Linked DNA regions of Coturnix japonica. The protein of the gene in region 2 interacts with the protein of the main gene of each other region in a pairwise test. Links are inferred from orthologs where the notes say so. Each region holds a gene or a part of one and is shown on either strand. Other genes may lie near its edges.

Region 1 (4,094 bases), on a different chromosome or scaffold from region 2:
ACCATGATGCTGTGGGACTGATGGACATAGTCAGTGGGCATGGGGGGAACGGGTTGGGGTTGGACTTGTGGAAGGGGTCTTTTCCAGTCTGAATGATTTTATGATAAAATGAGAAATGGTGGTAGAATAAAGATATTCTTCTCATTACCTGTTATCTTGTCAGTGATGCCACCACTGCACAGCTGAACGTCCTCTAGCTGCGCCTTAACCCACCACAGGATCCTGCAGAAGCAGCTCTGACATTGCTCTCACCTTGAAGCTACTCTTAAGAGAGGCAGTGACTCCTCTCCAACCACTGCTTACCTTCTTAATTCTCCTATTAACCGAGTCAACATATTCCTGCGATAAACATTCACACCCTGTACAGTATTCATTGTGAGTTACAGCACACTATTACAAAGTGTTTCCATCACAAGCAACACTCACAACTCAGGCACTACTTCTAGCTTCTTAGGAAAACCTTTTCCAAGCCCTGTAAACGCCAACAATATCTTCTCTGTTGCTATAGATTTCATACTGAAAGTGCTTAAGTCACCCAATAACCAGCAGCAAAACAAAACTCTCAAACAATAATAAAAGGAAATCCTCAAGGAGGAACTCACGTGGATAACAAGCAGCAGCACAGCTCCCCACCTTCCAAGCACTAAAGGGCCTCTCAAAGGTCTGAACAGAGATGGAAGAGCCAAGTACCAGCAGCTGGCTTAAAGAACTCAGATGGGAGCCTGACACAGATCAGCTGAGACACCCTTGATTAAAGCCGGCCATGCTTTATTGCTTCAGGACCTAATTTCTAGTTGCTGTCACCTGTGTTGAATTTGCTTCAGATCAATATTCAGTGGCCTGAACCTGATGGGCAAGAAGGCACTATGAGGATCTGAGCTGGAGGAAACCCTTAAATGTGCCTTAAGAAACATGTTTCCTTCATGCTGCGTTGGTGTGGTTATGTTAGAAGGGTGCCGACTTCGCACTGTGCATACAACTGTATTTCACTTTAAAAGTTTATCTTCTCAATTGAGAGGCTGCACACACCGTTACATCAATCACGTATTGCTGTAGCTCTCATCACCTCCAAGGCCGCCTCCGCACACAAAGAGCAGCACGGCCCGGCCCTCTGCCCTTAGCGGCTGCCGGGGCCCAGCGCGGGGCAGGAACTTCGGCCTCCGGCACAGCTCCGCCCCGAGCTCAGACGCCGGGTCCGTCCCGCACACCGACAGCTGCGGGGCGGAGCGAAGCGCCGCTCGCTGTGGGGCCGGAGGCGGCCGGCCTGGCCTCATTGCGCCGGGGCGGGCACAGCTCCCCGGCCGCCGAGCGCGGTGCCGCCGGGCCCTACGTGCGCGATCCCGGCGGGGCGGAGTGAGAGGAGGAGCCGGGGCGGCCTGTGCGACAAAGCCCAGTGCGCAGAAAGCTGGTGACCAGGAAGCGGAACGGCACCGGGCTGCCGCGGGGCGGGGGGCGGGCGGACCCCACCTGAGCCCCGCTGCCCCAGCGCTCCCGGGCGGGAGCCGAGCCCTGCGGCCCCACGGCTCGGGGCCAAGTGCGGCCGGCGCTGCGGGGCGGCCGTGCTGCCGCTAAGCCGCTTAGGGCCGGGCTGGCATGAGCCTCCCCGGCGGGGCGGCTGCGGGCTGCGCGCTGCGGGGCGGCTGAGGGTGCGGAGCCGTCCGTCGTAAGGAGGGGGAGAAAGCGGAGGGGACGCCCCTGCTCCCCGGGGGGAAGGAAAATGGGGAACTGCCTCAAGTCCCCCACATCAGATGACATCTCGCTGCTCCACGAGTCCCAGTCGGACCGGGCCAGCTACGGGGACGGGGCTGAGCCGGATCAGGAGCCGCCGCCGCCATATCAGGTACGGGAGGGGGCGGGGAGCGGCGCGGCGGAGCCGGTGGGGACGGGGACGGACGGAGAGGGGCACGGGACGGGGGGGCGGGTTGAAGCCCCGAGGACCCCCCGGGGCGCTGCACAGCGTCCGTCCCCGCGGGCACCGAACGGCGGGTCCCGGCCGTGAAGTGAGGAGCGCCGCTTTGTTCCCCGGGGGGTCGCCGAGCTGTCGCGGGGCCGCACGGACCGTTCGGGACACGAAGCCGGAGACGGCGGAGGGGGGTCGGGGCCCGCCCAGGGGTCGGAGCCGCCTCGATCGTGTCTGGATTTGGGCTGAAAGCAGGAGGGGAAGGCGTCGAGTTTCCAGCCGTGCCGCTTCCTTTGTTGTCGTCGCGCGGTGACATCACTGTCTGTGCCGCTCTCGGTGCTCCCCGCACCGGAGGCCGCGCGCTCGGCGCTGCCCGGCTTTGTCTGCGGCGCTTCGGCAGCAGCTGAACCGGAGTAACTTCGTGCTGCGGGGTGAGCCCGTTTCTTTCAGCTCCGTGCGGTTCCAGGAAGGGCCGTTCGCTCTCCTGCCTGGAGAGGATGTGTACATTGACGGCTGATGACGAGCTGGGGAAGAACGCCGGGTGCTCCGTCACGTCCTCACAGCTGTGGGGTCCCGGCACAGCTCTGTGCTGTGATGGCCACCAAAAGGACCCAGGGCTGCATTTATCCCCTGCTTCATCTCCATCTCCTAAGGAAGGATTGTACGTGGCTCTGAGCAGGACACGAGCCCTGTCTGAAGGGATCTGTAACAGTGACAGGTACAGATGAGTCCTGCGCTCCTTAGGGTGGGGAGTCACGCAGGAGTTGCAGACCTTAACGTATTATTAACAAGGCTGCAGGAAGTATTTAGCAGGGCAGATATTAACCTGTGATACTCGACGAACACCGGCTGTGACAGGAGGTCCCTGGGTTGCTCCATGGGCACAGCAACCCTTGGTGGAACCATGCTGGGACCACTGGGCCCTGCAGAGCTGCTCGCTTTATGTGACTGCTTCATGACAGAACAAATTCCCTAAGATGGGTTGGGTTTTTTTCCCTGACTTTTTAGTAAAGTCTGCACAAGTCCATTAAATAAAGATGTGTGGTGTCAGGTTTTTTTGACAGGCGATGTTCTGAGCCAATCCTGCTTGTCCCTCCTGTTTGGGAACGCAATGAAAATTGTCCCTTGGAAAAAAACCTGTCGGCTCTTGCAGGAGTTGAGAAATTGCACTGTGCAGGCCTTCTCCTGTCGACTTCAGAGCACAGCAGACAGTAAAATAAGCAAACTCGCAGACATTTGTTACTGTGTGCATTCATAGCAAAACTCCCCCAAACCCCACGCGCTGATCCCAGCAGATCTCAAACACTCACTGTAAGGGGCATCTTGTGTTGCATAGTCAACATTCAAAGATACTCGCTCCACAAATAAAGAAACACAGTGCTTTGTGATGACAAAAGACCTTCACCTTCATACTTTGCAGTATTCCACACGCTTTGAGGTTGAGGGGGGTTGTAACTTCAAATTGTTTTGGGGTGAAAAGGTGTGCAAGCCGAGCGCTGAACCTGGGGAACTCCTGGAGCTCCATTATTGCTGTAGTGGCAGCAGGATGTTGTGATCTTATCCTCTTCCTTGCCTGCCTTCCTCCGCAGGTCTGCATGTTCTCTTACACACTTTAATTCTCATTCAAACATTGTAGAAAGTATCACCTATAAGGACAAGAATCCCACATGCCCATTTCTAACACTGAATCTGAGCTATGATCTGGAATTTAAAATAAGGCCAAGAGTTTAAAAACTTGTTTGTGGCACCTACTGCTGCGCACGAGGAGCTGTGGACGATTAACAACTTAAAACTGAGCTGCTGGAGCCTCAGCCATAAAATGGCTGCATTTGGGTTTGCTTCCTTTGGGTTTGCAGCAACGATGTGCAAACTTCCTGAGCCGCTCTCTCAAGGTGTGCTAACAAGCAGAGCGAAGGAAGCTTGCTGGGGTAGGTGCAGCGTTGTAGACAGGACTTGTGTGTCTCTTTGAGCTAAAGTCTGTGCTATCTTGATACTCAAAACATTTTCTGTGTCTTGGCACGCTTGTTTTGTGGGTGTCCATATGGGAATCGAGTTAAGCAATAATTTTTTAAGGTGTTCACTTCTAACTGCAAAATAGGCACCTAATAATCTCTTCACTGTTGCATGCCAAACTCCTTTTCATCACTGAGTGCTACTGAATCTGCTGTATAAAATTCCTGCTTCTAAAAGTTGA
Region 2 (4,332 bases):
GTGCCCCACCGCAGCCAGGTAAAAAGCGAAGCAAATGTTTAGGAGCTGATTCATCCTATGCAATACCAAGGTGACCGTAACAACATTGCAGGATGGTAAGAAGTGACAAAATAGCCATTTACTTGCCTGGGCAGCTGCTGCGATAACTGCACCACACGCAGTCTTCTCTGTGGAGAAGAACAGAGCTGAAGTTAATACAAATGAGAACTCATTGTCTTCTATAGAACTCATTACATTTTTCTATTTCAGCCAGTCGACATTAGTGTTTATTGCATTTCTTTACAGATCACAAAATCACAGAATGACGCGGGTTGGAAGGGACCTCAAGGATCATGTAGTTCCAACCCCCCTGCCTGACAGGGCCACCAAATATACACATTTACTAGATCAGGTTGCCCAGGAGACCCCATAGACCCCATAGAGACCCCATAGACCCCATAGACCCCATAGACCCCATAGAGACCCCATAGACCCCATAGAGACCCCATAGATCAGGTTGCCCAGGGCCCCATCCAAACTGGTCTTGAACACCTCCAAGGACGGGGCATCCACAACCTCCCTGGGCAGCCTGTTCCAGGGCCTAACCACCAATTGATTCGTCCTGTCTTTTTAAGGCAATCAAACAAATTAATGACGTTTTGACTCCGCTTGATTCACTACGTGAAATCATCAGTTTCGACTGAATTCGTAAATTTAAGGTCGAAGGAAAAACACTCCGTTTTGTCATCAAAATCCTCCAAAGTGGGAGAGCGGTGCCACCTGCAGACTGCTCCAACACAGCCACCAGCACAACGGGAGCTCCGTCCCACACCGCAGCCCGTGAGTCATTAAGCTGCTATAGAGGCAGCCACAGAGCCAGCAAAGCTAGAGGGCATTTGATAATTAGCCCGATGTGGTTAGAAATAAACGCAAACTGCCTTCATTTGTCAAGAAACGTCCGTGTGTGCTTCAAGTTAGACTCCATTTCTCATATACAATCCAGAAGTCCTTGAAAGTATTCACAGAATCACAGAATGAGCCGGGTTGGAAGGGACCTCAGGGATCATGTAGTTCCAACCCCCCTGCCTGGCAGGGCCACCAAACATACACCTTTACTAGATCAGGTTGCCCAGGAGACCCCATAGATCCCATAGAGACCCCATAGACCCCATAGATCCCATAGAGACTCCATAGACCCCATAGATCCCCATAGAGACCCCATAGATCAGGTTGTGCCCATGGCCCCGTCCAACCTGGCCTTGAACACCTCCAAGGACGGGGCATCCACAACCTCCCTGTGCAGCCTGTTCCAGTTCCTAACCACTCTCCTAGTGAAGAACTTCCCCCTAACATCCAACCTAAATCTTCCCTCTTTTAACTTAAAACCATCTCCCCGTGTCCTGCTATTGTCAGCCCTTTCGACAACCCAGTTACAGGGGGATGAGAAGTGAACATCACACACACCCCTCTCTCCTCCCGTCCCGCCTCAACATGGCTCCTCCCAGCCGTGACGAAGGGCCGTGGCCGAGGCGCCGAGGTGCGGGGCCCGCCCAAACCCCGCGAGGTCCCCGGGCTGCCCCGGCCGGTGCCTGATTCTCCCCGCCGCATTCGGCTTTGGGGCCCGGTGTGAGGGGCCGGAGCGGGGCCGGGCGGCCGCCGTGGAGATGCCGCTGTTCGCGTCCAACCCCTTCGAGCAGGACGTGGGTGAGTGAGCGGGGAGCGGTGCGGAGCTCGGCGGGACGCGGCTGGGCTCGGTGCAGCGTTGGGCCTGTGAGGGGTGAGCGGCGGCGATGCCCGGCCGTATCTCGGGTCGGCGGGTCGGGCTGGGATTGTGGAGGCCAAGATCGGCCTTGGTGGTGCCGGCGGCGGGATAGCGCCCACCGGGTGTAAGAATGGACACAGCCCCACTTCGGCCCGAGCCGCCGCTCCGTTCCATTGCAAAACCGGGGGCTGGTGCGGCCGTGACTCAGCCGGGCTGGTCCGGGTCGGGTCGTGATCCAGCGCTGCCCTCGGGGACATCCAGCTTGTGCCGTGTCTTGTTGTTGGCTTTTTGTTCTTTAAAGGCCCGCTGCTGAGCTGCAACACAGCAAAAGCAATTAAAATTTCCCCCGTCCTTGGAGGTGTTCAAGACCAGGTTGGACGGGGCCCTGGGCAACATGATCTAGTAAAGGTGGCCCTGCCAGGCAGGGGGGTTGGAACTACATGATCCTTGAGGTCCCTTCAAACCCGGGTCATTCTGTGATTTCCCAGGGCTTTAGGTACGAGAAGAGTTTTGTCATTGCCGAATCGTGGAACCAGAGGAGTTGGAAGGGATCTTGGAGCTCCTCCAGCCCAGTCCCCTGAGAGCTGGTTCCCCAGAGCTCATTGCAGGTTCCCTAGAGCAGGATTCTGGCCACTGGCAGGAAGAAGTGGTGGCTGTCAGTGCTCACGTTAACACCCCAGTTCCTTGTGGTGAGTGTAAGTCCTGCTCCTCTGCTCTGTGCTGGTGAGGTTTCACCTGGAGTGCTGCGTCCAGATGTGGAGCTCTCGGTACAGGAGGGACATGGAGCTGCTGGAGAGTGTCCAGAGGAGGGCTACAAAAACAGTCCACAGGATGGAATGGAACACTTCTCCTATGAGGACAGGATCAGAGAGCTGGGGCTGTGCAGCCTGGAGAAGACAAGGCTCCGAGGTGACCTGATAATAGTGGCCTCTCAGTGTCTACAGGGGAGCTACAGGAAGGAAGGGGATGGACTCTTTAGCAGGGTCTGTGGTGACAGAACAAGGGGAAATGGCACTGAGCTTGAAAAGGGTAGATTTAGGTTAGATAAAAGCCTTTTACAGTGAGGTTAGTGAGGTACTGGAACAGTGGTGTGGTTGATGCCCCATCCCTGGAGACTGTCAAGGTAAGGCTCAATCAGACCCTGGGCAATCTGACTTAGCTTGGTGCCCCTGTTGGTTGCGAGGGAGCTGGACTAGATGGCCCTCAGAGGTCCCTTCCAACTCTGAGGTTTCACTGTTATCTTCGTGTGCCTTCAAAGTTTGTTTATTGAAGGCTTTGCCTTCAGTTCTCTTTGATGTTGACCTGTGGCTAAAATGAAGTAGCAGCCGCTTAGGCCAGCTGTACTTGTTTCAAAGAACTTGTGTGTGTTCTGTACCTTTCTCATAGCTCTGATGTATTTGCACAAGTGAAGACTTCTTGAACTGGGGACTCACGGCTGTACAAAATCCTTTGTCAAAACTGAAAAGCTGCAACAGCTCTAAAAGCATAGGGCTGCAAAGTGATGGTCAGTGTGCCTCTAGTTTCTTAAACTCTGTATTATACATAGCGAGTAGAACTGCTCACACATGCTGCTATGAAACAAGAGCAGTGGGCTGGGAATTTCATAGTTATTGAGGCTAAATCTCGCAGTGCCTTGCTAGGAAGAATCTACTTTTGTGCCACTAGGAGCTTTTTTTTCTTTCAGCTATTATTACTTAGTAAATCAGACAACACGGAGCAGCAAATAACTGAACACTGTTGTTCTGTACTTTCCCTGGTGGTACTCACCTCAGGCTGCTCATGCTGCTGTCGAGCTTTAACTTTGTGATTCGAGGTTTTATTTTCTCATTCATCTTTTTGATTTATAAATAATAAAGGTGCGTACCACGAGGGCAGTCGAGCTCTGCTGATGTCCTGATGCTACTGGGAAGGAGAGCTCTTCCATCTTCTTGTCCACTCAGGTGCTGTGGGTTGCTCTCTGGGCTGATTCAGTGCATTCTCTTCAGCAGAAAACAGATTGCAGTGGAGTGCTTGGCTGACAGTTGGGATCATCTGTGAAGGCGATGGAGTTTGGAGGCTCGGATCAGCTCATCAGAGGCTGCAAAGTGGCAGTGAGGGGCAGGGCTCCCTGGGAAGGTTGAAGCCCTACTTCTGCTGGCAGCAAGAAATTGGGTTGGTTTGGATATCTGTTCAGGCCATGCCTTCGGTATTGCAGCTTTCTTGGGAGGGGGCCTTTAGAAATTATAGATAAACACAGCTGCAGCTGTTGTTTTCTTAGTTCTGAACTTGTGTTTGCTTTGCAGTAGATCTGCATAGGGTCTTACTTCCTCAGCATTTGCTTTGGTTGCATTGTCTATAGTTGCAGTTCCATGAGATGAACCTATGGGATAGTTTCAGGAGTTCCATTTCTCTCACCTGTGGGTTTTTTAAAGATTCTTATTATTTCGGTAGAGAGAAGTGGTGTTTTTTTTTTTAAATTCTTATTATTTTGGTAGAGAGAGTGCCACGAGACTTGAGTTCTTTAAAGGGTTTGGAACATTTTAATTTCCTATCTAAATCTATTCATCATTAGTTCACACACACTCGCTGTTTTCCCCCATTGTCAGCCTTCT
Region 3 (3,561 bases), on a different chromosome or scaffold from region 2:
CTCTTTTTTTGTGATTTATTTCTGAATGCTGGTGCAAAGCAGTATTTTTTTTTCCCATTTAAAGAAAAAAAAAAACAACAAAAAACTGAATTACTAAATGTATTTTACATACCAGAGTTAGTTCTGAGTGTGAGGTAGCCTAGTGTTATTAAAGCTACCTCTATTTCATCTTAAGTTTTAAACAAGAATCATTGTGGAAAAGCAGATTGGTTTACACCACCGATCTTTCTGGCAGGTCTTGGAATGGCAGCGGTGACAGCTGTGACAATGTTGAGAAGTGGGATTATGAATTAAAGCAGATTTCTGCTTCCAATTGAACCTGGGAGATTATGCACACCTTGAGTTTAGTAACTGTAGTTCCTGGGACGCTGTGTAAAGCACTATGATGAGATTGCAGATTCCTTTTATTTTGCAATTGATGCCTATGTGATATATTTTGCTATATGAAATGAGTGCTAGTGGAATAGCATTTTGGGTTTTTTGCCTCCTAGATGATGACAACTCTGAGGAAGGCCTTCACACGATCCCTTCAGGAAGGCACGAATATGCATTCAGCTTTGAGCTTCCACAGACGTAAGTTCCTAGTTATACCATGCTGCTGGGGCAGTGCGATGCCTGCAGACACGCCTGCTTCGGGTGGAGGGGAAACCTTTTCAATGGTGGCAGGAATTGTGCTGCAGCATGCTGCAGAGGACATCATCTCCTTCATCTGAAGAGGTTGCTTTCAAACCCCACAAAATGGGAGCACATTGTTGCCTGGTGGCTCACTCACTCTTGACCTAGCTGGTACTGACTGGCTATGTCTTCTGATATTTTAACCCCTTCCAAGAGGAGTGAAGTTTAACTGGCTTGAGTCCTGTGGAGTGGCTGAGATGCCTTCTAATGTAACCAGTAGAGCCTTGTGGACCAGCAAAACTGGCCATAAGACGCCATCTTGCTTATTTAGGCTTAGTCTGGAACAGAAGTGACTATTTTAACTAACAATGAAAGAGGAGATTGTTCCAGATTAAATGGGATGTGTCTTCTCAAGCTGGCCTCTGTATGAAAAGGCTGGATGGCAATAAGCAGATAAATGAGTGGATGAACTGAGAAACATTCCCATCCTTCATCACATTTGTTTCAGAAAGCAGAAGTGAGAGGCAGAGCTAAACTACAAGCTCCAATAATACAAAATGCGTAGGGATAGCAACAGTCTGAAAACAGATGAGAAATGGGAGAGGAAGGAGACTTCCTTATGGAATTCAGGCAGTGAAGCTGTTACAGTTGGATAAATTTGGCAGACACTGTTGCGTGAAATAGTTAAGTGCCTAATACTAAAGCTGGCAAACCATCTGTTTATTAGAGGTGCTGGCTATAATAGAACCTGCAGGTCATAACCACCTCATGGGTCAGTATAAGAAGTGAGCAGTGTAGAACTTGAACGTACATAGTTGCTGGAGTGCTGAAAAAGACCCATGTATGGAGATCATCAGAGACAATTTGCCATTATGTGAAAATCTCTACTACAAAAAGTAAAAATAGTAGTCTTCATCTTCCCTTGATTTGGAAGGGTTGAAAAAGCAAGATAGTAGATCACTGTGAAATATTTAGTATTAAATTGAAGTACCACAACCAGTGGTTAGAACACAGTGTTTATAAGTAACTTGAAAAAATAGTTGTGCAATCAGCTTCTGATAACGCTGAAGAAAAACAAGGACGACTGGTGTTAAAGCCTAAAGACCTGGAGGCACCTATTTACCATTTCTTGTGATTTCCTATCAGTGGGATTTTTCCAAAGTTAATTAAAAAAAAAATCCAGAGCAACAGTAAAAAGGAGAACACTGAGGGGCTTGTTTTGTTTTGTTTCTTTTTTGCCCTTCAGGGTACAAGACAGGATCTACGACTGAATATAGACTAGATATGTTTCAGAAATGTAAACAGATGTCGTACCTATTACTGACAAAGAATCATTTAAGTAAAGTACTAGAATGGCTAGGAGTGTTCCCAGTAGGAATTACAGAAGGTTTGCACATCATTTTGAGTAAACAGATTAAATTACAAAAATTCTTAGATTTTTTTTTTTTAAAAAAAGGAAATTTACTGTTACTTAGAGATAAAGGGAGTTCTGTGACTTAAAAGCAAAGGTGAAAAGTTTCGAGATTCTTCCACAGTTTTCCTCCAGGTCTCTTGAAAGGATTTCATTAGTCTCTGAAACATTCAGAGTGGAATAGTCCTGATAACTCTGCATGCGTGTTCATATGATACGTAAACACATGCATGTATTTTGCATAAACTTTATAAACTGCTCTCACTGGAGTAGATGAGAACTGGAAGGTACTTCCGATAACCCTTCTCTATTCAGAACTGTCATTTGAATTATTTACTTAAAATTACACGAACTACTGTGTTCAGTAACTGCTAAAAGAAGACACTTAGCAGCCAAGCAAACAATAAACAATTACTTCAAAAATACAGTATTCAAACCAGTTGGTACTGTTGCTAATTTTAAGTTGGTAGTCTTAATGCAGCCGTAAAAGGGCATGGTGGATGTGAAAGCAGCCTCTTGAGTTTAAAGGAAATGTGAACTCTCCTGGCATTTTCTAGTACAATTCTTACATTGATTCTTAAAATCTATACAAAACTAAATTAGGGTGAATTGGAGATGATTTTTTCTCCCATCTTTAATCTTGAATTTTGCTCAGATATGGAAACTTTGCAAATAAGTTACGCTTAGTTAAATACTACAGTGCATTAAAAATAGAATTCTACATACTAATCCCTAATCTGATTATATCATTATTATAAAGAGTGAGAAAGAGATTTTACTCAGTTTTGACCTTTGTGTCCTGCACAGACCACTTGCTACCTCATTCGAAGGCAGACATGGCAGTGTGCGCTATTGGGTGAAAGCCGAATTGCATAGGCCTTGGCTTCTACCAGTAAAATTAAAGAAGGAATTTACAGTCTTTGAACATATAGATATCAACACTCCTTCATTACTGGTAAGAATTGACAGAATTACTCATTCTTTTTTTCTGACATAAAAATAAGTAAAATACAGGAAAGAATATCAACATTGGATTTTATCTAGTATCTATTTACTAGTTTTTAACAGCAGCTGATCTTTTAAGTATTCTATCAGTTTGGCAACTCTTCAATTACTTGTTTTGCTGTTATCCTGTACCTGGAGTTGCTTCATTTTTAAGATATGTAAGATACCTTTGTCAATTTAATACTGCTAAATTTTAATTTCTCTATAAAAAGGAAATTTTTGTGAACTGTTCCTCTTCAATTTTGAATTATCTGTGGAAGGAACAGTGCAACTTCAAAGAACGTTTTAATGAGAGACTGCTAACTTAAAAATGCAAAGTGAAATAATGTACTGGCGTGCGTAATTTCCAAATGGATGGTTTTCTACCAATGGGGAGAAATTATCACAATTCTATATATGATCTTTTTCAGAAATGTCATTTTTATTAAAATCTTAGTGTTGCAACCGCTTTCAGTAAGGAGCTGATTTCAATCTGGCTTAAGATTTCTTTTTTTCCCCCTTAAACTAATCTGTGGGAGGGGAAAAAAAAA
Region 4 (4,314 bases), on a different chromosome or scaffold from region 2:
CAAAGGGCATGAAAAGGCTTCTGGGAGAGATGCATCTATTGGCGTTTGCTGCTATTAAAAGCAGCAGTCAAGCACGAGCGCTTCCTACGCATTTCAGTGCAGTTATTACATACCACAATGGCTCCCGAGAAACAGCCACTAATAGTTTGTGACAACGTGCTCTGACTCCTGGGAGAGAAGGTAAAACAGTGTAGGGCCTCATGCAACACCTTCAGAAGACAGGATGATCTCCACTGAGCAAGCTGGGCCTTGCATGGCGTGCTCTCACAACCTCTCCCTCTTCCTTCAAGATATCTTCCTGCAGACTGAGAGCTTTAGTGTAAATCTTCTCCCTTAGCACTGTCTTTAGGTGCTAATATAACGGTGCAGTCAGTGCCATGTGAAGGTGGGAGTCAGAGCTCAGGTACTTCAGAGGAGACTTCTCATTGATGCTGCCAGGCCCAAACAGTCATTAGTGGCACAAAGTGTGGTAGAACAAACTGGCACAAGTTGTTTTCTCTGCAGGAGCTTGTCTGCATGTCACAAAGGCCTCGTCCCACCCCTGACAATCATCTGCTTTTCAAAACTGCCGACAAATAAAAATGAAATCCCAAGCCCCGTTGCTGCCAAACAGGCTGTGTCACTGACAGTGGAACGGCCTTCTGGTGCTGTGGCCTGCAGGGCTGGCTGACTGCACACAGGCTTTCCCCTTTCTGTTTGTTTTTGATCAGATCGAAACAACAGAAGCTGACAATGACATCCCAGGGGTTCACCCAGAAAATTCCTCAGCTTCTGGCTGGACTTTTGTTTGTCTGCTGCTCCCAGAGTGCTCAGCAGCCTGCTGCCTGCAGGGCTGCAATGGCCTCACACCATGAAGCTGCTGACAGCATCTCATTTGGACGCATTTACAACTCTCCCTACTGTTTCCTCTGGATCAAGTGCCTAAAGAGCTCATTGTACTGAGCCACAACCACAGGTCTGAGGGTGAGAGGACATATGGCTTCATTTGTAGGTCACACAGGTGAGCAGGCCTCTCATTCTCCCCAGCAGTGTGCCAGAGAGGCACTGTCCTGCTTAAGAACAAGTCTTATTTTCAAAAGCAAGTTAGACTTTTCTCAGCTCTGAAGCCTCAGCCCCATAGGTTTTCCTAAGATAAGAGGTATGTAAGTTGTTGAACTGCTCCAAAATTGCTAATTCTTATGTCAGCACAGCAGATTGTTGCTCACATCACCATTAGCAAAACACAGTACACCATGGAAATGAGAGCTGTGAAGACAAGAGGCACAAGCCGTGCCTGCATTTGTTCACCTTTAACGAGGATGCGTGAACACTGCAGAGATTCAAGCCGGTATGTTGTGGGCACTCAAAACTGAACGTGTGTTGGAGAGATGAACAAGGCTGTGTTATGACAAAGAATGAGCTCGATGGGGCATAGCAACGGGCACGGGAACGGACCTGGGCATGGCAACGGACCTGGGCATGGCAACGGACCCGGGCCCTGCCAGCTCACCCACCCCCCGGCCAGGCCGCGTCCGTGCAGCCGTGTGTCGCGGCCCAGCCGGGGCGGCGCGGCGGGCTGACGTCAGGGCGGGGCTGGCACTGCCCGCCGGCGGAGCGGGGCCGCAGCGGGAGCGGATCGGCATAGGCGGCAGGTAGGGACGGCCGAGGGGCGCTGAGTGCGGGGTCCCGGCCCGGCCGTGCGGAGCTGCGGGGCCTGAGGCTGCCGGGTGCGCGGCGGGAGGCGGGACTATCCGGCGAGGGGCGCGGGGCTGCGGTGTGCGGCCCAACCCGTAGCGCCGGCCGGCCCCGAGATGGTGCTGAACGGAGCCGCGCGGCTCTCGGTAGGAACGGGCGTTGGGTGCGGAGTCGGGAAGTTCCTGACTTGTTTGGTTTTAAACGGGAGCATCAGTCGGGTGAGGCGGTGTGTCTGCAGCTGGTGCTGCGGGATGGCGGTGGCAGCCGATCCGCCTCCGCTGCAGTGTGACGGCTGCACCCGCAGCAATGGCGAGCTGCACTTCGCTGGATCCGGAGCTGGCTTTTCCCGTCAGCCAGCAAAAGGGCGACTGGAATAAGTGGTGGGATATTCCATGCTGTGTTCTGTGTGAGGGAGGAAAAGGAGCAGCAGGGAGCGGCCCCCACACCTTTGCTGTGTTTGCTCTTGTGCTCCATGAAGGGCGTTTCTGCCTTTAGGCTTCAGCCACCAGCAAACTTCTGAGGTGGGTGATACAAAGCCCTGACTTATCTGTGTTTAATTCCCGCTTCCCGTGCTGGTCACACGGAGCTTCACAAGCAGATACTGTGCAGCTGATGCTTATCTCCCACAGCTCTCTTCTAGCTCTGGAAACACTCTTCTTGACACAGAGTGGGCTGATTGTAACACTGTGGTGGACTCCACGTACATGCTTGCACTTAAAAAGGATCAGACAAGGATATCAGATTGTTCTTTCACCTCCTATTTAGGTGCAGACAGACTGCTCTGTGTCACTCATTGCCATCTATTTGGAGCAGAAGTTTGGGGCACTGAGGTTCTGTGCAGGGAGAACGCAGTTCACGTATCTGAGATTGCACACAGGGTGCAGTACAGCTACAGAGGCCTCTTTGGTTCTGGAGCCCTAAGTGGGAGATGGCCTGCAATGTGAGACTTGGCTTGTTGGATGCTCTGTGATCTTCAGGTTGCCAGGAGAGAGGTTTTCTTCATAGAATCATAGAATCACAGAATGGCCTGGGTTGCAGAGGACCACAATGCTCATTTCAACCCCCTGCTGTGTGCAGGGTCACCAACCAGCAGCCCAGGCTGCCCAGAGCCACATCCAGCCTGGCCTTGAATGCCTGCAGGGATGGGGCATCCACAGCCTCCTTGGGCAACCTGTTCCAGTGCGTTGCCACCCTCTGGGTGAAAAGCTTCCTCTTCTTCTTAACCAGGCCATTTTGAGCTTCATTTAAAAGCTGAGGAGAAATGAGAGTGTCACTTTACGGGCTCAACTTTTACTTACTTAAAATTCATTTGGGAGGGAGCTGGTGACAATTTGGGTGGCATACAAGTCATAAAAACAGCTTTCTCCTTCCTGTTCAAGGTTAAACTCTTTCAGCTTTTGTTATGGCTGGACTTTGAGTCAACGAATGAAAAACAAAAAAATAGAAGGGGAAGCACAGAAAAAGGGAGGGAGAGTGTTGCAGGATAGAGGGATCACATCTGTGTCAAGGAAGCAATTTGTAAAGCAGCCAGCAGTGAGTCAGGGTCGCAGGTCTGTCTCTTCCCTATTTTGCAACAGTGTCATTTGTTAACTTGTGCTTTCCCCTTTTTAACTGATGTGTCTCTGACAGTCACATCAGATTACATGCCTGTTCCACTTGCTAGGGTCTGGGATACTAGTTGGGCCTTAGTGAGGATCTTCAGGTGAGATCTGTCTTCTCTATCTGAAATACAAGCGGAGTGCACTGTGACATTCTAACTTGACGTGCCTCTTTCTAATGTAGTGCTGTGAAATACTGATGTCTGCTTCCTCTCCTTCCTCTTCTGTCCACCAGATTAAGCAACAATGGCATTTGTGAAGAGTGGCTGGCTGCTCCGGCAAAGTAAGTCATGGGGCTCTAACCTCCTTTTCTCTCCACTGTGTCTAACTCCATCAAAAAGCTTTACAGCATCTCAGTCATTCCCAGGTGTTATTTCTTAAACAGGTCTCTGCATCTGTGGGTTGTTGTCCTTGCTTTTTGACTGTAAGGCATTTCACAAAAGGACCTATCATGACAGCATTTCTGTGTTACCTTTGGGTGTACTAGTGAGAAACAGCATATGTCACATCTGAGCTGTCTGAGTGTCCTGCTTCAGATGCTGCTCTGTAATTAGTGTTATGTAAGAGGAGACTTGGAAACTTTGCCTGACACCTTACATTAAAGTCTTCAGGTAGTCATGCCCTCTGCTTCTTCTTGCAGAGGGATAGAATTAAAGCACTGGGTTATGCCCTTAAAATACACTCCATTGCAACTTGGAGTAGTAAATGAAATAGGGAAACCAATTTTGTAATGTTCTAAAGCAGTGGTAGGACAAGATCTTGCCTGGAGCCTGAGAATGCTTTTGTCCTCTGGGGCAATTGGGAAAGATATCTTGGTTTTATTAACTTTAAGACACAAATACCTTCTAACATATGCCTTCATAAGCGACTGTTTGATTTTAAAGGCACTATTTTGCGGCGCTGGAAGAAGAACTGGTTTGACCTGTGGTCTGATGGCCGTTTAATATTCTATGACGATCAGAATCGCCATGATATAGAAGATAAAATCCACATGCGAATCCATTGCATCAACCTCAGAGTGGGGAACGAATGTCGAGGTAAT

Evidence for each region.
Region 1: the proteins of STAM2 (region 2) and RNF11 interact in binary tests that used the Homo sapiens proteins (3 or more experiments, as listed by UniProt). The link is inferred for Coturnix japonica from reciprocal best matches to the Homo sapiens genes STAM2 and RNF11.
Region 3: the proteins of STAM2 (region 2) and ARRDC3 interact in binary tests that used the Homo sapiens proteins (3 or more experiments, as listed by UniProt). The two-hybrid records come from large-scale screens. The link is inferred for Coturnix japonica from reciprocal best matches to the Homo sapiens genes STAM2 and ARRDC3.
Region 4: the proteins of STAM2 (region 2) and PLEKHB2 interact in binary tests that used the Homo sapiens proteins (3 or more experiments, as listed by UniProt). The two-hybrid records come from large-scale screens. The link is inferred for Coturnix japonica from reciprocal best matches to the Homo sapiens genes STAM2 and PLEKHB2.

Annotation. Positions count from the first base shown.
Region 1 is NC_029523.1:21,408,069-21,412,162, forward strand, and holds the start of RNF11 (RING finger protein 11), read left to right. Parts: upstream 1-1,251; 5' UTR 1,252-1,717; coding exon 1,718-1,840; intron 1,841-4,094. UniProt on the Homo sapiens protein: Essential component of a ubiquitin-editing protein complex, comprising also TNFAIP3, ITCH and TAX1BP1, that ensures the transient nature of inflammatory signaling pathways. Promotes the association of TNFAIP3 to RIPK1 after TNF stimulation.
Region 2 is NC_029522.1:30,549,396-30,553,727, forward strand, and holds the start of STAM2 (signal transducing adapter molecule 2), read left to right. Parts: upstream 1-1,515; 5' UTR 1,516-1,643; coding exon 1,644-1,683; intron 1,684-4,332.
Region 3 is NC_029547.1:52,953,720-52,957,280, forward strand, and holds part of ARRDC3 (arrestin domain-containing protein 3), read left to right. Parts: intron 1-491; coding exon 492-573; intron 574-2,833; coding exon 2,834-2,981; intron 2,982-3,561. UniProt on the Homo sapiens protein: Adapter protein that plays a role in regulating cell-surface expression of adrenergic receptors and probably also other G protein-coupled receptors.
Region 4 is NC_029524.1:996,993-1,001,306, forward strand, and holds the start of PLEKHB2 (pleckstrin homology domain-containing family B member 2), read left to right. Parts: upstream 1-1,509; 5' UTR 1,510-1,631; intron 1,632-1,743; exon of another isoform or gene 1,744-1,820; intron 1,821-3,507; 5' UTR 3,508-3,518; coding exon 3,519-3,555; intron 3,556-4,156; coding exon 4,157-4,309; intron 4,310-4,314. UniProt on the Homo sapiens protein: Involved in retrograde transport of recycling endosomes.